Linked DNA regions of Drosophila melanogaster. The protein of the gene in region 2 purifies or fractionates together with the protein of the main gene of each other region. This does not show direct contact. Each region holds a gene or a part of one and is shown on either strand. Other genes may lie near its edges.

Region 1 (9,508 bases), on a different chromosome or scaffold from region 2:
CTGAGCCGCATCTGCAGGACACCCCCTTAGAATAGAACGACACAGCCGCCCCTGGCCAACACCTTGGACTCCTGGGGCTTGGCTTTGGCGACGATTTTATTAGCGAAAGCCGAGCACTGGGCCTACTACTTATGGGCGCCACTAAAAATGATTAATGCCCGCTGGCTGGCGGCTAAAAAGGCTGCAATCCGTCAACGCGCACGTAGCGCAAATTTGTTAGCCATGGCATCGTGGCATGCCGCCCTCGCCACGCCCACCGAAAAGGTTGCTTCGCATTTTTTTTTTTTCGCGCTAATTCCTAAATTAATAAACTGCGATGCGGCGCCCAAAAGTGTGCCGCATAATATTTCATTTGCTATTCCTTGTGTGCGCTCGCGCCGCTTTGGCCCCTTTGCTTTTGACTGATGACTCGCAAAACGCGCGTAATTAGAAATTTACTTTCAAGATCCATTGGGGAATTGCGACCGCCGCCTGACACGGCCCCCAGGCCCAACTAATCATGCCGAACGTGACTTGGCCTGCACTGCGTTCCAGCGCACCCGCACTCAAGCTTAGCCCAGGTTCAGCCCAGATCCGGCGTCACCATCTCAGGATTCGTTATCGTCTCCGACCGACTGCCAGAAATACTTGCAAAATAATTAATCACAAAAATGTGCGGAAAAAATGCCAGCGAGCAGGAATTTAAACAACTTTTTTAGTTACCTCCTGGGACTTTTTCACTGTTTCCATTCCCAAGCTCCGAGCTGAGATCCCAGTGCAGGTGCCCGGCCAGGTGCGCAGGCAGAACTTGGAAGCCATTTAGTATTTCATATTCAGGGATTTGGGGATTCCGCCGGCGCATCAAAGCGAACTTGTCTTTTGATGTAAATGTTTAAATGCGCACAGGAAGATTGTACGAAGGCAATTTTGTTTCAACGCTCTCTCAATAATTAACAGGACCCATGTCCATGAAGGAGGTGGACACGCAGATGTACAACGTGCAGAGCAAGAACAGCAGCTACTTTGTCGAATGGATTCCCAACAACGTCAAGGTGGCCGTCTGCGACATCCCGCCCCGTGGGCTCAAGATGTCCGCCACCTTCATTGGCAACTCGACCGCCATCCAGGAGATCTTTAAGCGCATCTCCGAGCAGTTCACTGCCATGTTCCGGCGCAAGGCCTTCTTGCACTGGTACACCGGCGAGGGCATGGACGAGATGGAGTTCACCGAGGCCGAGAGCAACATGAACGATCTGATATCCGAGTACCAACAGTACCAGGTTAGCGATCCCTCCATATCCTTGCAAAGTATCTCTAAAAACGATTTCCATTGGTTTCCTCCTTTAGGAGGCTACCGCCGACGACGAAGTGGAGTTCGATGACGAGCAGGCCGAGCAGGAAGGCTACGAGTCGGAGGTCCTGCAGAACGGCAATGGCGAGTAAAGTCCTAGAAACTATCACAACTGTAGCTGTTTTCTGTATACTATTTTGTAAATTATTTGTCCCGAAAAGGCTTCAAATAAATATTTAGTAAATATAGTAAAAAAAAACACTACTCCCTTTAAAGTTCGCAATTGAAATTCGGAAAGTATGTCTAAATGTTTTATTTGTTTTCCCGATTCCTGATTTGTGGGAAGTCTAAAGCGGGTAGTTGATCAGCACATCCTGGCGTGCCAACTCCAGCAACATAGGATCGTCGAAGAATTTGTTGATGGACACGTCCTCGGACAGACCCTTCCTGCGACGCGTCTTGATCATAAACTCTCTGGCCAAATGGGATGCTTGCTGCGGCTCCAGTGGCCGGATTATGATGCTCTTGTCCAGGGGATCGCCAGGCACTATCTGCCAGTGATGGAACACCGAAAGGCAGAAGGCCTGGCCCTGGGTGTGCGTGCGGAGATCCGTCTCAAATCCAAATGAATCAATGGCGGGTATGAAGGCTTTGATCGTATATATGGGAGAACCCGATACGGGAGCATCCTGCGTTACGTGGCCTCTGCAAAATAGATTATATAAAATTTAGAGGCATTCTCTTACGGAAACATGAGCAGCAAAACTTACCTGCGCCTGGCCAGCACAGTATAGACAGCGGATACACAATCTGCCGGCGCCTGAACCTCCACAAATAGATATGGTTCCATTAAACGTGGGGTGGCCATCAAAAACGCCGAGTATGCCACACGACGGGCTGTTGGAATGATCTGTCCACCGCCTCGATGCAACGCCTCGTTGGCGATGACGCCATCGAGAATCTTAAACTTGACATTACGGATTGGCTCCTCGCACAGCGGCCCTTCTCGCGTTCCCCATTGGAAGCCCTGCACAATCGAATCCTTAACCGCGGTCAGCAGGTTCTTGTCCACTTCCGAGGGCAGGGTGTCGTCGACCAGGATATTTGGACCCGTGGAGTCGGGACCGAAGGCCCAAATGGAACGCGCCGCAAGCAGATCCCAATCGTAGTTGACTTGGAAGAACTCGCCGATGCGCTTTTTGTTCCAGTTTATGCAGACGGTTCCGTTCTCAATGTCCTCGGCCAGTCCCTTCTCCAGTGGCTCCGAGATCATGGTTATTTTGTTTTTCTTATTCGGCGTTTCGGCGAAACATTTCAGGGAACTCGTTTCCACAACTGTTTCGCAAAAAGCCACGACGGGATCCGCCACTTTGATGTCGATCTCGGAGTACATCTTCCGCAGATCGTGCATGACACAATCCAAGTACAGCTCGCCAGTGCCCAGAATAACATGCTCGCCGGATTCTTCAACTCGAGTGGAGAGAAGTGGATAGGATTTATTCACCTTGCGGAGGCCATCCAACATCTTGGGAAGCTCGGATGGATTCACTGGCTCCACAGCAATCTTGATAATGCTCTGGGTGTTGAACTTCAGTGGTCGGAATATGTAGAGGTCTTCTGGAACATTAATATCCACAATTGTGGAGGTCTTAACGATACACTGATCGATGCCTTCGATGAGCACCCAATTTCCGGCGGGTACACGATTTAACTCCACCTTGTAACGAGACTCAAATACCCACAGACGACCGACTTGCAGAATGCGAGAGTCCTCCTCATCCTGCAAGGTGTAGTTCTCTCCCAGGACACGCACCTCCTGGCCAGCGTGTAGAGTACCAGAGACAATCCTCGCCAGCACTTGGAAGAAGGTACAGTCGTCGTTGGGATACATCTTGGAACTGTGCACCATCAGAGTGCCGTATTGGTTGCATGATATCATATCCCGGTAAATGTCACCCTCTTTGGGTCCAGTGTATATATGGTCCACCTTTCGCTTGGCATTTTCCAAAGGGGATTTAATGTGCTCCACGCACATATCCACAAAACCGCTGCAGTCGCCCATGAAGCGGTTACAGACGAGACGCAGCAGTGGTCTTATATTGGACTTCATCTCCTCCTTGGAGACGCGCACATTCAGCTCGGCCAGAGTGTCCGACAAAGTGGTGTCCACATCGCCAACCACCTGGGCTATCAGCTTGTACATGGGCTCCAAAATGAACTCCACAAAGCTGCGCTGTGCCGAATTGTGCGGCTGCTTCTTCGAGAACTTGCGCCTATTAAAATAGTTGGTATTAGCAAATGATTTGGATATTTAGGCAGCACTTACGTTTTACTGTTGAAGTACATGTCACCCCAGAGCCGCTTGGCAAAGTCCAGGTAAGCCACTCCCTCATAGGTGTCTGCATACAGCTTGGCAAAGGATTTCAGAGTGAAACAAAATCCGTACAACGAGCTGGCGAAGCACACGTTGCCCAAAATAGGCGAAACTAAGAGATTGTCATCTGGAGCGCCATAGGTGCTGTAAGAAAATTACACATTAGTAAAATCATTAGTGTTGAGTATGAATCACGTAATCACCTCAGCAGCCCATTGACTTCCTCCACAATGTGTTTCAACTTAAAGTAGGCGTCCTGGGGCGGCAATTTCAGCTCCAGGATGAGGCGATCAATCTGCACGTCAGAGGAAACCATTAGAAAGTTTAGTGTCACCTTAAGGCCAAACCCTCACCTTGTTTATGCAAACGGTGATAGCCTGGCGCTCTTGCACCGCGTGCTTGAGCAGTCGCTCCGTGTTGAGCATGACGCCCTCGGCGGCATCGATGAACAGCACGACACCATCGCTCATTCGCATGGCGGCGGTGGCCTCGTCCGAGAAGTTGACATGCCCCGGGGTGTCGAAGATGTTCAGCAAGTAGCTCTTCTGTTTGACATCCTGCAGGACAAGTGTGACCGGCGTGGCCTTGATGCTGCAGCCGCGTTCCTGTTCCGTGAACAGGGTGTCCGTGTAGCGCAACTGGCGCTCCTCCATGGTCTCAAATTGCGGATGCGTCTGCCGGATGAGGCAGTCGACAAAGGTGGTCTTGCCGTGGTGCAGGTGGCCAACCAAAGCCACGTTGCGAATAAGCGGCGGAGTGTCCATGAGATCGGCCATGAACTCCATGTCGTAGGTGGTCTCCTGCATGTCTTGCTCCTTGATCTGGAACTTGAGCTTCTTCACTGGCTCTATAAGCGGCTTGTCCAGCGGCTGGGCGTCCTCCTCCTGGACAATGGTCTCCACATCCGGGCCGTAGACCTCAACTGCTGACGGATAGTAGCGTTTGTCCTCGTGCAAAACCACGGCGGTCACCTCCTTGTCCTCGTCCTCCTGTGGCTCCACCTCGTCCTCGTCCATGGCGTCCTTTAAATGAAACACCATAAATTAATTATAAGTTTTATTTTATTTTTTGCACGTTTATACCTCTGGGTCATCCTGCACATCGGGTTGCCCATAAATACTTTGCTCATCTTCCTCGTCGCTGTCTAAATCGGGGCCAATATAGTTGCCAAACTCATCGTACAAATCGGAATCCATGGTTTTTCCTAAAATAAATATATATATCAATACTTTCATTCAAAATTTGCCGGTGGCGTCTTAGAAAATTTAAAACTTTCACGGTGACTCGAAACTTATGCTACTCTTGTTTTTTGTTGTTTTTACCGACTTACCAATTGTTACAGGACCTTCTGATTGCTAAATTCTTCTTTAAAACGTAAGAAAACTGCAAATAATATAATTATTCACAATTTTTACACAAAAACGCGGACTGCAAACACGCTGTTCTTCTTCTTCCCCGAAAAACACTCAGCTGTTAAGCGGCCGGCATTACCTACGGCATTGCCAGCACAAATAAAGTAAGCGCTTGCAGCCCTGGCGGCAACATTTGAATTTTCCAGTTCATTAGGGCTAATTAACGTTTTTGCCAAGAAAGCAGGTAGCTAAAATACGCGTTGAAACGTAGGTAGACCCTTGCGTTTATATTGCACTGCAGTCGCCAAAGGTAATTAGTCGAAAGTGTCAACCGAAGGTATCAGCATCATAATGAGAAAATTCTGTTTGCTTCTTTTAATGGCGCATTTTGTGGCCTCAAGCCGAAATTTAAACGATATTCTCGGTCGCGAGGAGTGGATTAGCATAGCCAAGGAATACATCAAGAACCACAAGCCTTACAAAGCCAAAATCTACACACCCTACAAGCCGCGCATCGTAAATTTTACCAATCCGTTCGATGGAGATTTTTGGGACACAACTACGGTGGCCACCAATCCGCAGGAGACTACTGGCTACTTCACTGGGGAAGTATCTACTACAACGGAGAAAAGTGCCACTGAGGAATCTACAACTACGGCGGTGGATTATTCAACCACCGAATCTAGTTATGTAACTTCAACCACGGATACTTTATATTCCACGACAACAGCTTGGCCGGAAGTCACCAGCACAGATGCTATAGATGCCACTGAATCAGTAGCCCTATATTCCACAACAACTTCGAGTCCAGAAGCTGCAGATTCAACGACAGAAAGCAATTCAGACAGTACTGAATATGCTGAATCAACGTTAATTTATCCAGATTTATCTACAGGATGGCAAGAAACTACTACAGAAACCATTCAGAGCTCTACAGGATTGCAGGAATCAACAACAACAGAGTTTATGCCAAGTACTACGGAATTTCCGGAATCAACGACTACTTTAAGTTCTGAATTTTCAGAGAAAGAACTAATAAAAACTACCACAGAAATAGAAATCAATCCAAGCACTACAGAATTGCCGGAATCAACGACTGAATCTGCTGATTCTACCACAGAACCGAACGAATCCACGTTTGCATTATCCACAGATCAAACTACAACTGAAACAGCAGAAACTTCAACAGAAGAATTGTTTTCAACCACAGAAACCCAGGAATCTACTACATCCTTGCTGGAAATCATTGCCACGACTCCGGGCGTGGAAACTACCACGTCGTATCTGGATGCAGTGATTGACAGCACCGAAGAGGAAAGTTCTACATTATCAACACCATTTGGATTTAATTTAACAACAACGGAAATAGTAGAAACTCAAGTAGAAACCACAACACCAAGGCAATTGAATTTCGTCGAAGATTACGTTCGCCAGAGACCGAGAAAATTGAAGTACTCTTCGGACACGGAGCCGGAACTTTACTGGTACTGAAAATGATTGCAAATAAAAATTAAGAGTTTGATTAAAAATTTTTAGAAGCAAAAATTAAGAGTTTTAATTTAAATAAAAACGTAAAGCAATTGGCAACGCGATTTAAGCTATGGCTTATTTTAAACTAAGAAACGCGGTCACACTGGCCAAAAGCCAAACACATTGTTGTTTGATTTTTCAGCAGAAATTTTTTATTTTTTATTAGTTTATATCGTAAACATGAGTTTGTCCAGCATAAAACAGAAAGAAGCTAAGGGCAAAAAGAAATTGCTGCCCAAACTGCGCAATATTCTAGCCAATCCTTACAAACAGCACAGGTGAGGCGGGCAGAAACCAATAAAAACCCAATCAACAGGTTGTTTCTTTTGACTTTAGCCCTCTTTTATCGGAGGAGGAAGTGCAGCAGTTCCGTCAGATCCTTCAGAATGCAATTAAAAGCAGCGACGGGCAGACCAAATCGTTTGCCACTCGATACGGAATACATCTCGGCCTGGAGAGCTCCCTACGCGCCATAAACTCGCGGCGTTTCTCCTGCCTATTGGTTTCCTTGAGCCTGCGACCAACTCACCTCGTCCGTCTAATGGCCACCAGTGCATCTGTCAAGATGCCCACGTGCTCCTTGATCTGGAACTTGAGCTTCTTCACTGGCTCTATAAGCGGCTTGTCCAGCGGCTGGGCGTCCTCCTCCTGGACAATGGTCTCCACATCCGGGCCGTAGACCTCAACTGCTGACGGATAGTAGCGTTTGTCCTCGTGCAAAACCACGGCGGTCACCTCCTTGTCCTCGTCCTCCTGTGGCTCCACCTCGTCCTCGTCCATGGCGTCCTTTAAATGAAACACCATAAATTAATTATAAGTTTTATTTTATTTTTTGCACGTTTATACCTCTGGGTCATCCTGCACATCGGGTTGCCCATAAATACTTTGCTCATCTTCCTCGTCGCTGTCTAAATCGGGGCCAATATAGTTGCCAAACTCATCGTACAAATCGGAATCCATGGTTTTTCCTAAAATAAATATATATATCAATACTTTCATTCAAAATTTGCCGGTGGCGTCTTAGAAAATTTAAAACTTTCACGGTGACTCGAAACTTATGCTACTCTTGTTTTTTGTTGTTTTTACCGACTTACCAATTGTTACAGGACCTTCTGATTGCTAAATTCTTCTTTAAAACGTAAGAAAACTGCAAATAATATAATTATTCACAATTTTTACACAAAAACGCGGACTGCAAACACGCTGTTCTTCTTCTTCCCCGAAAAACACTCAGCTGTTAAGCGGCCGGCATTACCTACGGCATTGCCAGCACAAATAAAGTAAGCGCTTGCAGCCCTGGCGGCAACATTTGAATTTTCCAGTTCATTAGGGCTAATTAACGTTTTTGCCAAGAAAGCAGGTAGCTAAAATACGCGTTGAAACGTAGGTAGACCCTTGCGTTTATATTGCACTGCAGTCGCCAAAGGTAATTAGTCGAAAGTGTCAACCGAAGGTATCAGCATCATAATGAGAAAATTCTGTTTGCTTCTTTTAATGGCGCATTTTGTGGCCTCAAGCCGAAATTTAAACGATATTCTCGGTCGCGAGGAGTGGATTAGCATAGCCAAGGAATACATCAAGAACCACAAGCCTTACAAAGCCAAAATCTACACACCCTACAAGCCGCGCATCGTAAATTTTACCAATCCGTTCGATGGAGATTTTTGGGACACAACTACGGTGGCCACCAATCCGCAGGAGACTACTGGCTACTTCACTGGGGAAGTATCTACTACAACGGAGAAAAGTGCCACTGAGGAATCTACAACTACGGCGGTGGATTATTCAACCACCGAATCTAGTTATGTAACTTCAACCACGGATACTTTATATTCCACGACAACAGCTTGGCCGGAAGTCACCAGCACAGATGCTATAGATGCCACTGAATCAGTAGCCCTATATTCCACAACAACTTCGAGTCCAGAAGCTGCAGATTCAACGACAGAAAGCAATTCAGACAGTACTGAATATGCTGAATCAACGTTAATTTATCCAGATTTATCTACAGGATGGCAAGAAACTACTACAGAAACCATTCAGAGCTCTACAGGATTGCAGGAATCAACAACAACAGAGTTTATGCCAAGTACTACGGAATTTCCGGAATCAACGACTACTTTAAGTTCTGAATTTTCAGAGAAAGAACTAATAAAAACTACCACAGAAATAGAAATCAATCCAAGCACTACAGAATTGCCGGAATCAACGACTGAATCTGCTGATTCTACCACAGAACCGAACGAATCCACGTTTGCATTATCCACAGATCAAACTACAACTGAAACAGCAGAAACTTCAACAGAAGAATTGTTTTCAACCACAGAAACCCAGGAATCTACTACATCCTTGCTGGAAATCATTGCCACGACTCCGGGCGTGGAAACTACCACGTCGTATCTGGATGCAGTGATTGACAGCACCGAAGAGGAAAGTTCTACATTATCAACACCATTTGGATTTAATTTAACAACAACGGAAATAGTAGAAACTCAAGTAGAAACCACAACACCAAGGCAATTGAATTTCGTCGAAGATTACGTTCGCCAGAGACCGAGAAAATTGAAGTACTCTTCGGACACGGAGCCGGAACTTTACTGGTACTGAAAATGATTGCAAATAAAAATTAAGAGTTTGATTAAAAATTTTTAGAAGCAAAAATTAAGAGTTTTAATTTAAATAAAAACGTAAAGCAATTGGCAACGCGATTTAAGCTATGGCTTATTTTAAACTAAGAAACGCGGTCACACTGGCCAAAAGCCAAACACATTGTTGTTTGATTTTTCAGCAGAAATTTTTTATTTTTTATTAGTTTATATCGTAAACATGAGTTTGTCCAGCATAAAACAGAAAGAAGCTAAGGGCAAAAAGAAATTGCTGCCCAAACTGCGCAATATTCTAGCCAATCCTTACAAACAGCACAGGTGAGGCGGGCAGAAACCAATAAAAACCCAATCAACAGGTTGTTTCTTTTGACTTTAG
Region 2 (11,050 bases):
GCAAGTATGCCGATCTCAACGAGCTGGAGAAGGACTTTATGCAGCTATGCCAGAATGCACAGATCTACAACGAAGAGGCGTCTCTGATTTACCTGGACTCGATTGCCCTGCAAAAGGTATTCGTTGGGGCCAGGCAGAGGATAACAGCTGCAGCGGATGCAGCCGCAGTGGCAGCCGGAGATAACACGGGTGAAGCGCACGGCAATGGAGGTTCGGATAATTCGGACAACGACGACGACGATGGTGGCGATGACGGCTCCGACGACGAGGAGATTGCAACCACTTCAGCGGCGGCTGTCAAAATGAAGCTGAAACTGAACAAATCTCTGGCTAGTGCGCCCGCTACGCCCACGCAATCATCGTCGAATGTGAGCAGCGGAGCGGCTACCACATCCAAGAAGCAGACGCGTCGCAAGCGCTCCCAAAAGAAGTACACTATTTCAGACGATGACGACGATGACATGGACTAGCTACCGTTGGGAGTGATCTTCAAGCGCGGATCGTCGGATGTCGAAGGCATGGGCAATTGATTATTAATTAGTTTAAGTTTTACTTTCAAGGACGATGCTTACCAAAACCCTAGCCTACGGGTTTTTTTAACCATCTAACCTATCATGCTATCACTTTTATCTATACTAATTTTCTAGTTGTAGGTTCTCGATTAAGTTTCCTATTCAATTATTTTCGCACACACCATTTATTTCTCCCAATTCTATTGATTGTATAATTATGTGCTTTAAAATAAATGCATACCTAACATAAAGTAAATCGAAAAACTTGTCATTAATGGACGGCGGATTGCTCCTTGAGAGATTGTTCAACCTAGACCAGGCTGGAATTAGTAACAAAGATCTTATTTAAATCGGTACCTAAATGAATACATCGCTGCTAGCGTATAAAGGAAATGGTTTTAAATATATCAAAATGGGAAAATTATGATGTTTCGTTTAATTAATAAGTTGTATTTTAGGAAGTCTTACAGTAATTAAAATTAGCTTCAGCATTTCTACTTATTACATTTATAACTAAGCTCCTTCAAATAAATGCATACTTAAACATATTGATATGCTTGGTAAGACTAAAGCAGGTAGTGGAAGTACTCGTCGCACATCTCGTGGACACTAGCGGTGTGCTCCTCGTCGCCGCTATCACTGCTTCGCAACGTGATTTTGTGTGCATTGGCGTACAAGTCGTCCTCATCAACAGCCGCATCGTCGGTTTCTATTAATTGAAATTGCAAAAGTGATGTGGCAGAAATGATAGTGGACGTAACTTCGTGACCTCACCTCGGTACTTTTGTTTGCGCCTCAACCGTTGCTTGGAGCTTGAGAGCACTGCTTCGTCGCCCAGATCCAATTCGTTTTCGCGGGAGTTCCGGGAGTAACGAATTGGCGGTGCCAGGAACCAGTAGGATTGCATGATGCCTTTGAGACCCGGCATTTGACGCAGTTCGGCCAATTTGAGCGGCTGCCTGGACAATGCTTGGAAAGATCGCAGCTGCAGTGTGACTGGTTGCGAAGTGCAGTTGATCAGCCTAATTACGGACTTCGCGGCTGTGGAGCAGACCATGGGATATATTTTGACATCCGGATCCGTCGGGACATTGGTGTAGGCCACTCCCAGCGATCTGCGGTTCAAATAGAACTCCAAGTGCCCACGCGTTCGATCCAAACAGACACCAATCAAGCAGCCCTGCGAGAACTTCTGGCCGTAGGGCAGTAACTCGCCACAGTGCTGAATCCTTCCGGAATACGAAAAGCCCCAGGACTGGGCATTGGTGCCCAGGGCCGAGACAAAGTGAAACTTGAACTGCCCTAGATTAACGCTTTCCGTGCCGATGCCGAACATCTAGGAAAAGTTATAAGAAAAGAAAGGCAATTATAAAGAGAACATTATTTACATTGAACTTTAGCTGGCTTATCATCTAGTTGGGGTGTCTGCTGAGATTTCCTCCTCCCGCTGCGTCTGTTATCTTATCGCCGCGTTGTAATCTGTAATCCATAATACAACGAAGCGAACAATCAAGTCGTCTCCAATGGAAACGAGCACACCAGATGCCTGGTTAGTTGTGTTCTATTTTAAGGCGGCGACTTTGAGTGACATTCATCATGCTGAGCATCCCAACTAGTTGCCAAGCCGGCCTGATAACTAACCACATCCGTGCCGGCCAGAGTCGTGATGACGCGCATCTCCCAAAAGTGCACCATGTTTGTTTTTAGGGCCTGTTCCCCTCTCACAATCGCCGTGCCCTGACTGTAGGTGGGATGGAAGATGATGTCCCGGTCGGTGACCACGGCATCCGATTCATCAGTGGCGTGCCACCGCCAGGCATTCACGTTTCCGGACTCATCCTCGCCGCATTGGCACCTGACCAGGTCGGGTATATGGCCCTTGTGGTTGGTAACCTCAATGGAGTTGGGAAACGGGCAATCACAGAAGCCGGGATTGCAGGCTTCTTGGTACGGGGGCAGCAGCATGCTGGCACTTGTTCCTCTTCACTGGTTTACCTTCGATTGCTTTGTAATGAATTGTGTCAGCCGTGTACAATGATCTCGAGCAGTCGACGGACCACAAATGTTTCCAGTTAAACCAGCTGCAGCCTCATATATAAGCACATTACTCTGATCTGACTGAACAATAAACAAAACGATGCGTTGTAAATAGACGTCGGCATCGCTGCCGACGTCGCCGCCAGTGTGACCGAAGCCGCAGTTCGGAACTTAAAATATACTAGATATATCTCAATTATGAGAATTATGGTCAAATTTATAGCAATTTCTTTTGTGGATTGCTAGTGCGTAGGAAATTTTGGTGTTTACAAAAGCTAAAAAACCAGTATTCAAATTTTAAATAGAATGTTGATGGGCTACATTTTTAAAAACTTAGATGCGCGCGCTAACGATAGGTTTCCTACAAATGGCAGCCCTGATATCGATTTTCAGTTGGCTTCGCACATATGGCATCTCTTTAGCCTTTTGACAATCTGGCAGCACGCGTAGCCACAAACAGCGGCTTTTCACTACGATATTTCCGCAAAAAGTTGTAAAATAGGTTAATAAAAGTGCTTAATACTTATAAAAACAACTAAACAGACATGGCGGATGCCGCAGCACGTCAGCTGCAATACGAGTACAAGGCGGTAAGTGTCAAATCCCGCCCGGGAAAACTTCTCCCACTCCATGCGGCGTCTCACCAGAATTTCACAAACACGTTAAATGTATTTTCCATTTTTCAGAACTCCAATCTTGTGCTGCAAGCCGATGTCCGACTCATCGAACGTCCGCGCCGCGATGAGGCCACTGGCGAGGTGTGTTCCCTGGTGGGAAAGCTGGACGGAACAAGGATGGGAGATCGGTACCAGCGAACGAAGCCGGAGAAAACGGAGGAGCGCAAGGTGAAACGTCAGAAGCGCGACGAGGCCCAGTACGATTTCGAGCGGATGAAGGGAGCCACTCTGCTCTCCGAGGGCATTGACGAGATGGTGGGCATTGTGTATCGACCCAAGACCCAGGAAACTCGTCAGACCTACGAGGTCCTGCTCAGTTTCATCCAGGAGGCTCTGGGGGATCAGCCCAGGGATATCCTGTGCGGTGCCGCTGATGAGATTCTGGCTGTCCTCAAGAACGATCGTTTAAAGGATCGGGAGCGAAAGAAGGATATAGACAGCTTGCTGGGCGCAGTTACAGATGAGCGATTCGCTCTGCTGGTTAACCTGGGCAAAAAAATCACAGACTTTGGCAGCGATGCCGTGAATGCTTTGACTGCTGCTCCCAACAACGAGGAGCAGATCGATGAAACCTACGGCATCAATGTTCAGTTTGAGGAATCCGAAGAGGAGAGCGACAACGACATGTATGGCGAGATTCGCGACGATGATGCCCAGGATGAAGGAGAGGAGGCCCGCATTGATCACACACTGCATGCAGAGAATGTGAGTAATGTAGTTAAAATTGCGAATCCCATTTCTTATTCGTGTATCCCTTCCCAGCTAGCCAACGAGGAAGCCGCAAATAATGTAAAGAAAGAGCGCTCCTTGCATCCTCTGGACATAGATGCGTATTGGTTGCAGCGTTGTCTGAGCAAGTTCTACAAGGACGCCATGGTGTCGCAAAGCAAAGCCGCCGATGTGTTGAAGATCCTCAAAGATGCCGCCGACGATCGCGATTGCGAAAATCAATTGGTGCTTCTGCTGGGCTACGATTGCTTTGACTTCATTAAGCAATTGAAGCTTAACCGGCAGATGGTCCTGTACTGCACCATGCTCGCCTCGGCCCAAACGGACAGCGAGCGGCAAAGGATTCGCGAGAAGATGCGCGGAAATTCTGCGTTGGCCAAAATCCTTCGGCAATTGGATACGGGAAAGTCAGAGGATCAGGAGGAGGGCGAAGCACGGGGAAGCAAGCGTGGCAAAGGCGATGCAGAGGATGGTGGAGCGGCGGCTGCCGGGCAGGTGGCCGGTGTGCGACAGCTACTCGAGTTGGAAGAGATGGCATTCACTCAAGGATCTCACTTTATGGCCAACAAGCGCTGTCAGCTTCCCGACGGCTCCTACAGGAAACAACGAAAGGGCTACGAGGAGGTGCACGTGCCTGCACTGAAACCCGTGCCATTTGATGCCAATGAGGAACTTCAGCCTGTGGACAAGCTTCCGAAATATGTGCAGCCTGTGTTCGAGGGTTTCAAGACCCTTAATCGTATCCAAAGTCGTTTGTACAAGGCCGCACTGGACAGTGATGAGAATATGCTGCTGTGCGCCCCTACTGGAGCTGGTAAAACTAATGTGGCACTGCTAACCATGATGCGGGAGATTGGAAAGCACATCAACGAGGATGGCACCATCAATGCGCAGGATTTCAAAATCATTTACGTGGCTCCCATGAAATCGCTGGTGCAGGAAATGGTTGGCAATTTTGGACGACGTCTTGCTTGCTATAATCTGACGGTCTCTGAGTTGACTGGAGATCACCAGCTGACCAGGGAACAGATCGCCGCCACGCAGGTGATTGTGTGCACACCAGAGAAGTGGGATATCATCACTCGAAAGGGAGGCGAGCGTACCTTTGTGAGCTTAGTCCGGTTGGTTATCATCGATGAGATTCACTTGCTCCACGACGAGCGTGGTCCGGTGCTTGAGGCCCTGGTGGCGCGTACGATAAGGAATATTGAAACTACCCAGGAGGAGGTGCGATTGGTGGGCTTATCTGCCACACTGCCCAACTATCAGGACGTGGCCACCTTCCTACGCGTAAAGCCCGATAAAGGCCTCTTCTACTTTGATAACAGCTATCGGCCTGTGTCCCTGGAGCAGCAGTATATCGGTGTGACGGAGAAGAAGGCCCTAAAGCGATTCCAGGTGATGAACGAGATCGTTTATGAGAAGACCATGGAGCATGCTGGGCGTAATCAGGTCCTGGTCTTCGTACACTCGCGCAAGGAGACTGGAAAAACGGCCAGGGCTGTGAGGGACATGTGCCTGGAGCAGGATACCCTTGGTAGCTTTCTTAAGGAAGGATCAGCAAGCATGGAAGTGCTGCGGACTGAAGCCGAACAAGTAAAGAACACAGAGCTTAAGGAGTTATTGCCCTACGGCTTCGCCATTCATCATGCTGGAATGACCCGCGTCGATCGTACTTTGGTGGAAGATCTATTTGCTGATCGGCACATTCAAGTTTTGGTTTCCACCGCCACGCTAGCTTGGGGTGTCAATCTCCCTGCCCATACTGTAATCATCAAGGGCACGCAGGTATACAATCCGGAAAAAGGACGTTGGGTGGAGCTGAGTGCTTTGGATGTACTGCAGATGTTGGGTCGTGCTGGACGACCGCAGTATGATACCAAGGGTGAGGGTATTCTTATAACCAATCACAGTGAGTTGCAGTTCTATCTCTCCTTGCTCAACCAGCAGTTGCCGATTGAGTCCCAATTCATCTCCAAGCTTCCTGACATGCTCAATGCGGAGATTGTGCTAGGAACGGTCCAACATCTCCAGGATGCAGTTAACTGGTTGGGCTACACTTATCTGTACATTAGAATGCTGAGGAATCCCACGTTGTACGGAGTTTCCCATGATGCCATCAAGGCTGATCCTCTGTTGGAACAGCATCGTGCTGATCTCCTGCATACCGCAGCTTGCTGTCTGGAGAGAAGTGGCCTTATTAAATACGATCGGAAGACGGGACACTTTCAGGTTACTGATCTGGGACGCATTGCCTCTCACTATTACCTAACCCATGAAACCATGCTGACTTACAACCAGCTCCTTAAGCAAACTCTTAGTGAGATTGAGTTGTTCCGCGTATTCTCCCTATCCTCGGAATTCCGGCATATTTCCGTCCGAGAAGAGGAAAAGTTGGAGCTGCAGAAGCTCATGGAACGAGTGCCCATTCCCATTAAGGAGTCCATTGAAGAGCACAGTGCCAAGGTGAATGTTTTGCTGCAAGCCTATATCTCCCAGTTGAAACTGGAGGGCTTTGCATTGATGTCGGACATGGTGTTTATTACCCAATCCGCTGCCCGTTTAATGAGAGCCATTTTTGAGATTGTATTGACCCGCGGATGGGCTCAATTGGCGGACAAAACGTTGACGCTCTGCAAGATGATCGACAGAAGAATGTGGCAATCGATGACACCACTTAGGCAGTTCAAGAAGATGCCCGATGAGATTGCCAAGAAGCTGGAGAAAAAACACTTCCCCTGGGGCAGGCTTTACGATCTAGAGCCACATGAACTTGGTGAGCTGATTAGAGTGCCCAAGCTAGGAAAGACCATCCACAAGTTTGTGCACCAGTTCCCCAAATTGGAGCTCTCCACGCACATTCAACCCATAACAAGGGGAACTCTGAGAGTGGAACTAACAATTACACCGGATTTCCAATGGGATGAAAAGGTGCATGGCCAGTCGGAAGGTTTCTGGGTTTTAATTGAAGATGTCGACTCGGAACTCATTCTCCATCATGAGTTTTTCCTGCTGAAGCAGAAGTATTCCCAAGATGAGCACCAGCTTAAGTTCTTTGTGCCTGTCTTTGAACCTCTGCCACCGCAGTACTTCCTTCGCATTGTCTCAGATCGTTGGATAGGTGCAGAGACCCAATTACCAGTTTCTTTCCGACACTTGATTCTGCCCGAGAAGAATATGCCACCTACGGAGCTTTTGGATCTCCAACCGCTTCCTATTAGTGCACTCCGGCAGCCGAAGTTTGAATCCTTTTATTCGCAACGCTTCCCGCAATTCAATCCCATTCAGACACAGGTCTTCAACGCAGTCTACAATAGTGATGAGAATGTCTTTGTTGGAGCACCAACCGGATCCGGAAAGATGACTATTGCAGAGTTTGCCATCATGCGCTTGTTCACTACCCAATCCGATGCCCGATGTGTATATTTGGTCTCGGAGGAGGCATTGGCGGACTTAGTTTTTGCGGATTGGCATAGCAAATTTGGATCCCTGGACATAAAAGTGGTTAAATTGACCGGCGAAACTGGAACCGATCTTAAGCTCATAGCCAAGGGACAGCTGGTGATCACTACTGCGGATAAGTGGGATGTGTTGTCTCGCAGATGGAAACAGAGGAAGAACGTACAATTGGTGAACCTGTTCATTGTGGACGAACTGCAGTTGGTTGGTGGCGAAGAAGGTCCCGTTTTGGAAATTGTATGCTCCAGGATGCGATACATTAGCTCGCAGATTGAGAAACAGATCAGAATAGTGGCGTTGTCTGCATCGCTAACGGATGCCAGGGATGTCGCCCAGTGGCTGGGCTGTAATCCCAATGCCACTTTCAATTTCCACCCCAGCGTGCGTCCCATTCCGTTGGAGCTGCACATCCAGGGCTATAATGTCACTCACAACGCCACCAGAATTGCTACGATGTCCAAGCCTGTTTACAATGCCATCCTCAAGTACAGCGCCCACAAGCCGGTGATTGTGTTTGTCTCGTCCAGAAAGCAGGCCAGGCTCACTGCAATTGATGTTTTGACCTACGCAGCATCGGATTTGCAACCCAACCGTTTTTTCCATGCTGAGGAGGAGGACATCAAGCCGTTCCTCGAACGAATGACGGATAAAACTTTGAAGGAGACCCTAGCGCAAGGAGTGGCCTATCTCCATGAGGGCCTATCCGCCTCAGATCATCGCCTGGTGGAGCAGCTGTTTGACTCTGGCGCCGTGCAAGTAGCTGTTATCTCCAGAGACCTTTGCTGGGGCATGAGCATCTCCGCTCACTTGGTGATCATCATGGACACACAATTTTACAATGGCAAGAATCATTCGTATGAGGACTATCCCATTACAGACGTGCTGCAAATGATTGGTCGAGCCAATCGGCCGAACGAGGATGCGGATGCCAAATGCGTGCTGATGTGCCAGAGCAGCAAGAAGGACTTCTTTAAGAAATTCATCAACGAGCCGCTGCCCATCGAAAGTCATTTGGATCATAGAATGCATGATCACTTTAACGCCGAGGTGGTCACCAAGACAATTGAGAACAAACAGGATGCCGTTGATTATCTCACCTGGACGTTCCTCTACAGACGATTGACCCAAAATCCCAACTACTACAATCTGCAGGGTGTCACGCATCGCCATCTCTCCGACCATCTTTCGGAGTTGGTGGAGAATACGCTGAGCGATCTAGAACAGTCCAAGTGTATTAGCGTGGAGGATGATATGGACACGCTGCCACTCAATCTGGGCATGATTGCTGCCTACTATTACATCAACTACACAACTATCGGTATGAAGCATTAGATTTAAGTTTAGGCAATTGTCATCTTCATTTTCCTATCATTTTTTCCCAGAGCTCTTCAGTTTGTCCCTCAACAGCAAAACAAAAGTGCGGGGCCTGCTGGAAATTATTTCATCGGCAGCTGAGTACGAGGATGTTGTGGTCAGGCATCATGAGGAGCAGGTTCTGCGCACGCTGTCTCAGCGACTGCCCAACAAACTCACAGGACCCAATGAAACGGCTCCAAAGTAAGCAACCCATACATTTAGATCTTAAAAAGAATTTTACCAATGTTATTTTTAGATTCAATGATCCGCACATCAAGACCAATTTGCTGCTTCAGGCTCATCTTTCGCGATTGCAACTGGGACCTGAACTGCAAGGCGATACGGAGCAGATACTGAGCAAGGCCATCCGCCTCATTCAGGCCTGCGTAGATGTGCTGAGTTCAAATGGCTGGCTGTCGCCGGCTGTGGCTGCCATGGAGCTGGCTCAGATGGTCACGCAGGCCATGTGGAGCAAGGACTCGTACTTGAAACAGTTGCCGCACTTTAGTCCCGAGATTGTCAAGCGGTGCACAGAGAAGGTGAGAGTAACAACAAGTGAATCTCTAGGATTATCTCATGTTTCGTCGTATATTTCAGAAAATCGAAACCGTTTTCGATATCATGGAATTGGAGGACGAGGATCGCACTCGCCTGCTGCAGCTCTCCGATTTACAAATGGCCGATGTTGCTCGATTCTGCAACCGTTACCCCAACATTGAGCTGAACTATGAGGTGGTGGACAAGGATCGCATCAACTCAGGATCAACCGTTAATGTAGTGGTTCAACTGGAACGTGAGGATGAGGTCACTGGCCCAGTCATTGCTCCATTCTTCCCGCAGAAGCGCGAAGAAGGATGGTGGGTCGTCATAGGTGATCCCAAGACCAACTCCCTGCTCTCCATCAAACGGCTCACGCTGCAGCAAAAGGCAAAGGTCAAGCTGGACTTTGTGGCACCTAGTCCGGGCAAACACGACTACACTCTGTACTACATGAGCGATTCCTATTTGGGTTGTGATCAGGAGTACAAGTTTTCCATCGAAGTGGGTGACTTCCAGTCGGAAAGCGAAAGCGAGTCAGATTAGTTTTCTTTAGGATCATCAGTTGGGCATGTTTGCACAAATGAAAATCAATCATTTTACAATTTACGCGCATTAATTGTAGCAATAATAAATTCGTGTACTACTTTAGTAGAAACCAAATTGTACAAGGATACACTGAGGATAATTATATAAAGTAGTACAAAAAAAAAAAAAAACAAAATAAAAAAAACCTTTCAACTTTCTTTCGCTGGTTGATACCAAGAATCTAAATATTTTGTAGTCAACAGTGCCAATTCTTATATTGTCTTAAGCTTTTAAATTTCGTATGGAACAATTCAAGTTTGTTGTAATTTGTAATCTGGATCATCAAAATGCAACCGTTTAGATTTTAAAAAAATCATTCAAATTATTCATTCAAATTCAATTCAATCATAAATATTTATTTGGATTTTTTAGATATTTGCACATAGGATTGCTGACAAATAGATTAACTTGGAGGTATTTTCCCTGTATGGTGAACTTGGCTTTTAGCGGCTGACAGAAACTGCCGATCCATGGCTACTGCCACGATTGGCTCCTCCATTAGCGAAGCTGTTCGTGGAGCTAAAGTTTATTGTCTGTCCATTGGGAAGATGGTAAACCTGACTCAGCGAAGCACCTGCCGCATTATTGGATCCAAAGGGGCTGGTGTTCTGGGACTGAGTGGCCGTGCTTGCGGAGGAGGCACCGAATGATCCATTGGCACTCTGCGACTGGAAGCCCTGAGCCTGCCCACTGGCGGCCGAGGATCCTGAGTTGAGTCCATTGTTGTAGTTGCTGTGGGCAGCTCCGTTGGATGCGGCCTGCTCCTGGTTGTAACCACTGGGTCCGAGTGGTCCCAGCGGATTTAACTCGACGTTGGCATTGGCATTGCCGCCATCTGGTCCGGCACCAACATCAACACCCGCTTTGGTTCCCCCAGCGCCGGCCGATGTACCTGCCTGAACTTTTCCACCTTGATTACCGCCGAATCCGGGATTTCCTCCGAATCCTGGGTTACCGCCGAATTCCTGATTACCGCCGAAACCCTGATTACCTCCGAATCCCTGGTTGCCTCCAAATCCTTGATTACCGCCGAATCCACCTCCAAAACCAGGCTCTCCACCGAATCCGCCACCGAAGCCGGGATTTCCAGCATACTGACCACCAAATTGTCGCCCAAACTGACGCTTCACCCTCTTGTGAGCGGCCTGGATTCCG
Region 3 (10,163 bases), on a different chromosome or scaffold from region 2:
GCTCATCGCAGACCACAAAAAGAAGCTGCAGAAGCAGCTACTAGAGTGCAACGAGCCGGCACTGCTGCTGCACCTGGCTGCACTGATCTTGTTCACCACGATCACTGGTAGCATTTTGCACGCGTCCGGAAAATTCGTTTCTGCCATACTGCAGCATATTCGCGGCTCACTAAACGAGGACCAGAATGCTCTGTTGCTTCGGTATCACGGTGAGTTTTTGCAACCATAATTTGCGTTTTACCTAATTCTTACATACATTTCAGATTTGGTCCTGCAAGTTCTGCAGGCCATTCCCGATAGCAATGAGTCAAAACTGGCCAACGAACATTTGCAGACAATGCAGAATCAAGTGGTGGAGCTAGCTCAAAACTTTTCACGTGCATCGATTTCTAAGGCTGATTGATGATGCTCCTATATTCCAATCTTTCTTCCCATGTCATTAAATTGCGTCTATGTAAATTGGTTCTGGTCTGCAATAGATTTTGCATTTGTTAAATTTTCATAGTTTATAAATTGTTTTTATTACTGCTATGCATGAAGTTACAAAACGATGAGCCTTAAACAGAGTTCCTAGCTTTATCACTTTCGAAGGTTTGGGTTGTTGGAAAAACGATTTAAAATTGATTAGTTTGGAAGGGCTGTTCTCCATTTAGTTTGTTAAGCTCAAGCTTGAATTAAATAAATCTCTTACGAAGCTACTTATATACAATATTTTCTAACAGACCGATATAAGTTGTGCATTTCTTTATAACGAGTATTTGATTGTTAGGATTGATGTGAGCGATGTTTGTCCCTACACTTTATAAACTATGTAGTCTTTGAAGTATTTGCTTGGCTTTATCGCTGGATTGCCTGCAAAAAGGGAAATGATTGCTTTTAACTCTCAAAAGTGAGTTTCATTACTTACATAAAGATTGGATTGCTTGCATCACAGTTCTCTAATGTTTGTTTAATATATCCTATAAAAAGTTCCATGTTCTTGAGGGTCTCGCTGTTCGGTAACAACCAGACTGTAGGCAGGGTATTTACAATGATGTAAGCTTTGTTTATGGCATCGTTTGGCGTGCAGACTCGCATAGCTAATAACAGGTAACGATTCAGAAGGGCTCCAATCGCCAGCTCACGCAGTAGCTTATCAGCCAGGATGCCCTGCCAGCTTAGGAAATTTCGAAACAGCTTTAGACCACTGCAAAACTGCCTCTGAAAGAATGAGGTCTTCGCCTCTTGCACTCTAAAGTTCAAACAAAAAGCGGTAATTAAGACCATGATGGCCAATCTTTTGCAAGAATAATATACTTACTGCTTTGGAAAAATGGGTATAAATACATCATTTTCTAGGGCTAACCGCATGCGTTCCATGATGGATTCAAACAGTTTGTTAAGCTGCTTATTTGTGCCGCTCAAGGGAAACTCGCGACCTAATCGATTGATGAACCCAACCAATCTCAGGGTCTGTGTGGTAGATAATGGATCCCAGCATTCTGTGACCAGAGCTAAAAAACATTCATTTATTACCCCGCTTCGCGTTTTTTTTTAATGTGTAAAACTCACCAGTCACCTTGGGCAGCACAATCTTTTCGATGAGCGCCGGCACCAGATTGATATCCGGATCGATTTTCAGCTGCTCCACGGTTTCATCTGCCTGGGAGGCATAAAGCATGCAGGCCTGATACCAACGCATATTTTCTATATCCGCATACACGTCCAGCAGTGGCGACCAAAGAACAAGTTCGTGTCGCACCAGCGGAGCCAAGACTTTTGGAAGGCACAGGCTAACAAATGCGTCCTGGTATGACGACATGTCAGTTTTACGCCAGGCAAAAAACTTCATTAGTATTAGCTCGATCTTGCTAAAGTCGTCGGTAACGTCTTCAAGGGCGTCCACCGACTGTGATTCTATCTGCGCCATCGTAGTCACACTCAGTTCCTGCTGTTGATCGGCAATTTCATCGTCGCTTGACATGCCATCCAGGTGGGACGAGAGCAGATCATTGCGCTCGCGCTCGCATCGGCGACGTGTCCTCCGACCCTCCCGTTCCGCTGCGCGGCGAACTTGTTCTTCATAATCAGGTGTTCGGCGGGAGGCAGCTGTTATAGGTTCTAAAAGCAGAAGATTGAACATATTAATATAGTTTAATAATCGAATTATTTTCCCTAAGACAAGACTAAAAACAAAATTCTCATACTTGCTGATTCGGCGATTTCTTTGGCCTGATCACGTACATCCTGCCTCCGTCTGTTTACCAAATAACGTTGATTTTTGCCATACTGTTGCAGTGCACGCTTCTCAAGATCGTATATTACTGGCGCTTTTTCCGAGAGGCAATCGACAAGGTCATTCACATAGCACTTTATTTCTTGGTAAAACTTGTACTTTGCGGCCGCTGTCGGTGCATTCTGCTGGCACTCTAACTGCTGGAGCTTTAATGCCTTTAGTTCTGTACTAATCCTGGCCATACTAGCGCTGTGATCAGCCGACCGCTCTTTAAGCTCGCTAAGACGCGATTGAATGGCAGCTAGGATTTCCTGAGGAGTTCGCAATGCTGTAGCCTTGGCCTTTTCCTTCTTGGTTTTGACGGATGATCGAACTGCTGCGGCTAAGTTGGTGCGCTCAAGGGCATTTTTAGCATAGGCCTGCTCCAGCAGAGTGGACGTGGACTGTGCCGCTGTTGAATCTCCGTCGTCCATGCCGGTTCCGATGCCCGACGGGGCAGGCTTGATCATAAAACGGGAGAGCACTGTTTCATGCTGAGAATGGACCAACTGGGCTGCCGTAACACCCTTGCGGATCTGCTGGTTTTCCCACTCGTTCATCTCGCGATCTGAATCTCCGTCGGTGGCTGCAGAGGAGTGAGCAAAGGTTAACAATAGTCTAAAAACTTCACCTGTAATTAGCCTGGCTCTGGTCACAAATCGGACTTGGTCCCTCTACATACAATCATTTTCGACAGCATAAAATTGCTCGCGCCGCTCTTCACGCTCTTTGCGTCCCGTAATATCGTTCATGTCCATGCGTTCTTCATCATCCGACTGATCACCCTCAACATCTTCGCAGGGCAGACGGTTGCTTAGCTTGGCCGGCTCCTTGGGCTCCTCAATAGGTATATAGTCGCCTGCACCTGGAATATAACACAAAGAGTAAGCCATCGCTAGTGTGGCAACGTGTCGAATCTTACCCTGTTCTCTAGCCCTTTGCCGACGTTTTCGGGCAGCGTGTATCATTGCTGCATCCGGAATGGAACCACTTTCGAGCATCTGTTTCAAATGTTCTGGCTTGGAGAAACGGTGACGCGTTTTGTCATGGCCACCATCCTCGGATTGCTGGTCTTCTTCATCGCTCATATCCTCCCGTCCAGCGCAAAGGGCAGCTCTACCGTTCAGAATTGCCTCGGGAGTCTCAGATTTCTTTACCACTAGCTGGGGACAAGATAAGTAAGTTTTATATTATTGTGGATTCCTAAAGGACTTCGATTAGGGTGAAGCATTGGTATTCATGCTGCTTTTGTGGAAGGGAAGACATGCGACTATCAATGGTGGGAAAATTACTATTTATGTGACTACGTTAGCAATGGCTTTGATTTTTGGTAATTCAAAAAATATATCTTTGAATGTTACATAATATTTAAATAGTTTTCTTCTGGTAAGGTCAAGTTGTATGCGTCAATTTATTATCAAAGAAAGAATGAGTTAGAATGTTCTGTGATAAATTTTCTAATTCGTGGTCATAGTTACAGTAGTAGTACTTAAAGATCGCATTATAATTGGAAATTTTATGTTGAGTGATAGTTGGATCGCAGATCCTAGACACTTCCCATCACTGACCAGTTAAAACGCCAAGCAAATCAACGTCTAAGCTACTAATATTTTAAAATTGGCACTTCAGACCAGAAAAACCAACTAATTTAATAACACATTTAAACTCATTCAGCCTAATCTTTGCTGCTAATTGTTCTACGATAATTCAATGTAATTTCTGATGTTGAAATTTCGTTAAACGGTATTATTGTAGAAGAAATTGAATAATAATAACCTTACCACAAAGTCGTCTGTGCGTATTTCGGTTTGGATCATATGATTATCACTTTTTTTACTTTTACTCTGATCGCTGGCACTTTTATATCTGCCAGCATTGGCAGGATTCGAGTTGGAATTCGGGGGACCCGATGATGGGCCACCGGACGACTCTAAATGCTGTGTACTACCATTTTCGCCCCCGGGATGTCCGCTGTTTTCCGCCCGTTCCTCGCGCTTCTTCTTGCGGCGTTCCTTGTCCAGCATGCGCATCACTTTCTTGCTATGCGACGACTTTCGCACCTGGAACACCTCGCCGTCATCCTCTGCAAAAGAATTGGGGATTTTGGCTCCATACTCTTTTTATATTCCGGTATCACTCACCATCATCTGCGAAGCTGAGCAGCGCCTTTGGCTTGCTGTTGTCCTCCTGCGGCTTTATGGCCTTCCGGCTCTTCTCTTTCTCCCTCTTGCCCGAAATTATGGGAGGCGGTGGCGCCTCCATTTCGGCGTCCGGATCCAAGGATGCGCCGTCCTCCTCTTCGTCAGCGTTGCTGGAGAACACGCGTCGCTGAATTTTCTTCGGTTTGCGAAAAAGCGACATTTTCCACGATGTTGTTGTTACTCTGCGATTTGTTTAATCAATGAAAAATCGGAAGAAAAGCGAATTTTCGCAAGATCTCTTCTTCTTGCTGTCGTATTGTAATAGAGATGAAAATCTTTCGATGTCGTTCTCGTGCTCACGTGAGTCACGAGCAGGGCTGGAACGTTAATTCTCGGTCCTCGGTCTAGCACTTACAAAACTTTTCTGTATTGAAAATATGAATAGCTTTACAAATTTTGAAACTATTGTAACAATTAAATAAAAATGTGATAAATACATTAATTTGTATACCCAGGGCAGCTACACATAAAACTGGTCTTATTAAAATATCGGCAAGAGCTTAGATGACTTTTCATCCCTAGATACCGACAACGGCCATCTCTAATCTCTGAATTCGGCGACCGCAGGGCGTTTCAAAACAGACCGAAAAGTCGTTAACTTATTGGTGCCTTGAGTCACAGAATCTCTAACATGGGCCTTAAAGGTTGTGAATTGCAATTGGACAACCCGTGGAACACCTACTACGCCGGTCAGACGGTCAACGGCCAGGTGAAGTTTACGTTCGACTCGCCCAAAAAAGTCCGAGGTAAGTGCGAATCCAAGTCCCAATTGTGGGCAGCGCTGGAGAATGCTAATTAAAACCCCAGCTGCTTACTATTACTCATAGGAGTGACGACACCTGTGTAAGAGTCAATGATTAATTGGAAATTTAGTAAATAAATATACATAGCACTTTCGTCTTCAATGTGCAGGATGTTCACTGGCTGTCGTTGGTAGTTTCCTTGCTAACTTCTTAAAATCCTGACGCAAAAAGCCGGCGCACCACCCACAAATGTCGGTTGCTCTTTCGGTGCCTAAACGACCTTGTTTTCAGAAAGCTGGCGGTTGTTAAACCCTCCAAAGAAATGCACTTTCTCCTCTTTTCAGTTGGGCGATAACAACTATAAATAGCTCCAAGTGTGAATGAATACAAAAGAAAGTAAATAAATATGTAGTACATTTGACGGGGGCATGTAACCTATGTGGCAAACATTCCACCATAATCAAATTTTGAGGTCACCAAACACGGGAGACAGATGCTGCCTGGTAGCGATGATGTCATCCGTTGAGTATGCCTTAGAAAGCTTTTCATATTATTTATAGCTAAAATTAAAGCGCCACAGTGACGTCGTCGATTGTCATTCCGTAAATACAGCCACTTGTTTCTCGTAGGTATTATCATTCGGTTCCTGGGAGAAGCCAACACCGAGTGGTCAGAGGAGAAGAGCGTAACCACCAGCGAGGGCAAGACCGAGAACGAGGTCACCCAACTGAAGGGGCATGAGGAGTACTTTAAGATCCAGTACTATCTGCTGGGCGGCAAAAACAGTAAGTACAAAAAACAGACCGGGAATTCACTCCCCGGTTGCCAGACCTTAGTTTATCTGAAAAGAATTGGAGGATTTAATTATTGAAAGTGTCTATTATTAAGCATAAATTTTTGTATTCTATGGTGTAAGAATTGGCCAAGAAGATTTTTGTTTAAAATTAAATTTGTCCTTATATGAATCGAATAAATGGGATTGCACTTCCTCGCTCTATATAAAATAATAACTAAATCTTGTAATTACTATACACCTTATAGCATTAATAACTTCTCCTTTTGAAACTACAATAATTTAATGTTTTTATTTAGCTTTATTAAATAATATACCTTGACAGACCCTTCCTCTGCGCGTAAGAATTGAAAACATAATAAGCTATAAGTGACCTTTTTAAAATGCTAAAAGTTAAATGTATGATTTTGCAGGCTCTGAGACGGAACTACCGCCTGGCACTCACACTTATCCATTCACCTGTGCTCTGCCGCCTAATCTACCCTCATCCTTTGAGGGCGAATTTGGCCATGTGCGCTATACCATCAAGGTGACGCTTGATCGTCCGTGGAAATTCGATCAGGACATGAAGATGGCGTTCACAGTAATAGCGCCCGTTGATCTAAATCTCAATCCTCGAGTCAAGGAGCCATTCAAGCTCGAGCTAGAAAAGTCATTCTGCTGTTTTTGCTGTCGCTCAGGACCGCTGGCTGTCATCACGAACATCCCGCAAACAGGATTCGTTTCGGGGCAGGTGCTGCCCATCACCTGCGAGGTGGACAACACCAGCAACGTAAATCTTACGGCAGTGAAGTTTGAACTGCGTAAGCTGGTCACCTTCCACACAAACCAGCCACGGAGCGAGAAGCGCGAGTCCAAGGTGATCATAGCCAACTTAAGTGTTGGCCCAGTCAATGGCGGCGAGTCTCGCACGTTTACGCAACAAATGGAGATTCCGGCGCTGCCACCGACCAACCTCCTCAACTGCGGGATTATCGCTTTGGACTACGACCTGCATGTGGAGTGCGAGGTGAGCGGTCCGCACCGCAATCTCACTGGCAAGGTGCCAATCACCTTGGGCACTATTCCATTGGCTGGCGTACGGCCACCTACTCAATTTACGGATGCTCCGTCGGCGGTTCAGTCCGAGGATCCATCGCTGGCGCCCACACAGCCAGTGAGCCCGGCGAGCCCTCCTGGCGGCGATGGCGTGGGTGGTGCTCTAGGCTGGAACGTGGCTGACAGTACTGGTGGTGGTTCACTGTATCCTAATATACGTGAGTATTAAAATTATGGAGTTTTGTGGATTTTCTTTTAAATTATAAAAGCTTCTTAGTAGGGTTATATATCTTTATTTATTAAAATATTCTATTTTCATTTTGCAGCGCCACCGCAGTTTGTGGAGACACAGTACCGGGCACCAACGATCGCCGGTAGGGACGACTCCGAGCATACGCAGATGATCGGCGACGGAGCCTTCGCACCTCGGTATCCGACTTTCCAGTTTAATAATGCCACAGCACCGCCAGCTAGCCAGTGATTGAATCTCTAAGCTAGACCCACAATGATATTCTTAAACTTTGATGTCGAACTATTTTCTTCTGGCTGTCTCTGTTTCTGGAGGGTTAGCTTTCGCAATTTTTATCGGCTTTGCATTTATGAAATATTAGCTTTCCGTCCAAATAGAAAGCATAAACAGGTGCAGTCAAAATAAAAAAGGTCTACCTATACAAAGTTTTTGAAATGCTTAACTTCTGTTTATAATTAAATAGCTTTCGGACAGTAAATACAAAGAATTGGGTCTTTATTATTTTGACTGCATCTGTGTTTAATTTAATAATCGTATAAATACGCACAATTGTCAATTCCGATTTAAACTGCTCAAATTTAATTTTTTCTGTTTTTTTTTAAGCCAGCAATAGTGCCTAAAACTGATGTACGACTATAATCGTAATAAAACACAAAAGATAATGAAGGTTTGATACATGGGCATAGCCAAATCCTGGGAGCCAAAAATGTGTTGAGCCTTGAGGAACTTGTTTTATACGGAGCATTGGGAGATTTAAGAACTTGGAATGATGGTGCTATCGTTCCATATTTACTTCTTCTTTTTCTTGCAGTATTCATTCAGTTCCCTGGCCTTTCTTGCTTTCTTCTCACACTTGCACTGTTCCTTCAGAGCTATTTTTTTGCATTTGGCCTTGAGGATCTTCATCTTCTTTTTCCTTTGTCTAAGCTTCTTTTCGGCTATTTTTTTGCATATCTGAAAAAGTCCTTCGGGATTGGCTTTCGGCTTCGGTGGTGAGGGTGGTGCGGCTTTAGATGGTGGAGGGGATGGATTAGCAGCTTTTGGTGGTTGGGCAGGAGGCGGAGATGGCGTTTTAGCGATCTCCTTCTTCACCTCCTTCTTTACCTCCTGTTTGATGTTCTCTTTGACATCCGTTTTAGCTACTGGAGCAGATTTGCTAGCATTCTTCTTAACTTGGGCTGCTTCCTTGAACTTGTATTTAGCGCATACATCAACTTCTTTTGGTTTTTGCTGTTTGTTGATTTTCTTGCACATTGCTTTTTTCGCTTTCTCTGCGCTTTCAGCCTTTTTTCTGTCCTGCTCAGCTTCTCGCAAGGCTTTGAGTCGGTCCGCCTCCAGCTTAGCGGCCTTTTCGCATTCCGCCTTCTCCTTGTTGGCCTTATCCTTTTTCGCCTGCTTGCGGCACTTTTGAATCGCCGCCATTTTCTTACACTGCTCTTTCATTTGCTTGGCCCGGGCTTTTGCGGCTAGGCCCCTAAGTTTTATCTGCTTTGCCTTCGCCTTCTTTCTCGCTTCCTTGGCCATCTTTGCGCACTGTCTCTTTAATTCGCAAAGATCTTCTTCAGGCCCTTTTTTGGCTTCCTCTTCGGCCCTTCTCCTGGCCTCCTCTTCTTCGCGTTTCCTTTCTTCTTCGGCTCTCTTTCGGGCTTCTTCAGCCAATCGGGCGCACTCTTGCCTTTCTTTTTCTTCTCGACACGCTCGTTTGATGGCTTCTATTTTCGCCTGCTTTTCGCAATTCATTTGATCGGCCATTTTCTGGATGGCCTTGTTTAGCTTTTCCAACTCTTCCTCCTCGTCGGGGCATTTCTTCTTACATTCTTCTTCCTGTTCACAATCTCCTCTTTCTTTTTTGACGCACTTCATGCATTGCTCTATTTCCTTCTTTTTCTGACATTTTTTCACCTTGGCCATTTTTTTACACTTTTTCATTGCGACCTTTTCCCTGCACTTGTTTAACTTTTTCTGAGCCTTAAACTTCTTGCACCTCTTTTTAAGCTTTTCCATGTCATCATCTCCATCATCGCCTTTCTTTCCACCACCCTTGCCACACTTCTGCTTCTTCTTACCCCCACTCGACCCTTTGCTGCACTTTTCTTTCCCAAACCCCTCGGCGGAACTGGCGGTTTCACAGAAAATTTCTCGCTTGAAGGACATCTCACCATCCAACAAATCCTTTCTCAAGATCCTCTGGTTCAGCCGCTTCTCCAGGTCTTCCAGGAACGCACTTCTCAACGGCTGATCGAGTCGATGGCTAAGTGTATCACAAGTACCTGAAGACAAAAGACGAGAATCATACATTTTTTTTGCAGAAGCATGAGTAAGTTTAGAAAACCGGCCTTCCTGGCAAATCAACACGCTCTGCAGCTCTTTCGGCGTTCTCCCATAGTCCTGTTTTGATTTCTGCACAAGATTCAGATCCTTCATGCATTTCACTATGTGATACATCCGGAGACACCTGCTACAATTGCAGACACGGAAACAGGCATCAGGGTAGTGGCTCAACGCCAGCGAGGCTCTTTTCAACATGTTTTTTATGCTTTGGTTCCAAAATTTAACAGATAATTTTAAGAACAAATCGGGTTAAAATGCAAAAACTAAGAGGATTTCGACCCGATCTGCGCCATTATGTTCCGAAAACTGGGAAGTAAATGGGCCTGTATTTGACGTAATTATCACAGTAAGTGTGTGAAATAGTGAAGTAGACTATTATTAAAATAATAATATTCTTATGCGGAGTCGATATACTGAATTTTTTTTATTAGGACGGCTAAGACAAATCATGACGGCATATACTGAAAATCCAGGTTTTTTATTGTTAAGCTACTCATTCTCAAGAAAGTCTTATTTGGCATAAGGTTGCATTTGACTATACGATATATACGGT

Evidence for each region.
Region 1: the proteins of Brr2 (region 2) and CG4849 purify together in Drosophila melanogaster (affinity purification with mass spectrometry, with the first as the bait; one large-scale study listed by BioGRID). This does not show direct contact.
Region 3: the proteins of Brr2 (region 2) and CG1965 purify together in Drosophila melanogaster (affinity purification with mass spectrometry, with the first as the bait; one large-scale study listed by BioGRID). This does not show direct contact.

What each region holds. Positions count from the first base shown.
Region 1 is NT_033777.3:27,959,020-27,968,527, reverse strand, and holds CG4849 (uncharacterized protein), read right to left. Parts: upstream 5,114-9,508; 5' UTR 4,975-5,113; intron 4,849-4,974; 5' UTR 4,841-4,848; coding exon 4,727-4,840; intron 4,667-4,726; coding exon 3,998-4,666; intron 3,940-3,997; coding exon 3,848-3,939; intron 3,789-3,847; coding exon 3,597-3,788; intron 3,544-3,596; coding exon 2,041-3,543; intron 1,976-2,040; coding exon 1,618-1,975; 3' UTR 1,570-1,617; downstream 1-1,569. Other genes in the region: betaTub97EF (beta-Tubulin at 97EF), read left to right, coding at 937-1,259, 1,327-1,422; CG31131 (uncharacterized protein), read left to right, coding at 5,348-6,487; CG31253 (uncharacterized protein), read left to right, coding at 7,994-9,133; CG42487 (uncharacterized protein), read left to right, coding at 9,353-9,450.
Region 2 is NT_037436.4:15,959,797-15,970,846, reverse strand, and holds Brr2 (Brr2 U5 snRNP complex subunit), read left to right. Parts: upstream 1-2,974; 5' UTR 2,975-3,094; coding exon 3,095-3,139; intron 3,140-3,235; coding exon 3,236-3,931; intron 3,932-3,988; coding exon 3,989-8,732; intron 8,733-8,796; coding exon 8,797-8,971; intron 8,972-9,026; coding exon 9,027-9,309; intron 9,310-9,367; coding exon 9,368-9,853; 3' UTR 9,854-10,011; downstream 10,012-11,050. Other genes in the region: brm (brahma), read left to right, coding at 1-470; CG10516 (uncharacterized protein), read right to left, coding at 1,079-1,221, 1,287-1,848, 2,154-2,477; CG17032 (uncharacterized protein), read right to left, coding at 10,339-11,050. UniProt on the Drosophila melanogaster protein: Catalyzes the ATP-dependent unwinding of U4/U6 RNA duplices, an essential step in the assembly of a catalytically active spliceosome. Plays a role in pre-mRNA splicing.
Region 3 is NT_033777.3:7,061,962-7,072,124, reverse strand, and holds CG1965 (uncharacterized protein), read right to left. Parts: upstream 4,725-10,163; 5' UTR 4,616-4,724; coding exon 4,396-4,615; intron 4,338-4,395; coding exon 4,036-4,337; coding exon of another isoform or gene 4,031-4,035; intron 3,418-4,030; coding exon 3,177-3,417; intron 3,120-3,176; coding exon 2,937-3,119; coding exon of another isoform or gene 2,929-2,936; exon of another isoform or gene 2,841-2,928; coding exon 2,187-2,840; intron 2,101-2,186; coding exon 1,552-2,100; intron 1,494-1,551; coding exon 1,301-1,493; intron 1,232-1,300; coding exon 908-1,231; intron 853-907; coding exon 801-852; 3' UTR 501-800; downstream 1-500. Other genes in the region: Ufl1 (UFM1 specific ligase 1), read left to right, coding at 1-209, 264-403; CG1105 (uncharacterized protein), read left to right, coding at 5,087-5,201, 5,828-5,983, 6,405-7,247, 7,356-7,510; Mst84B (Male-specific transcript 84B), read right to left, coding at 8,069-9,805.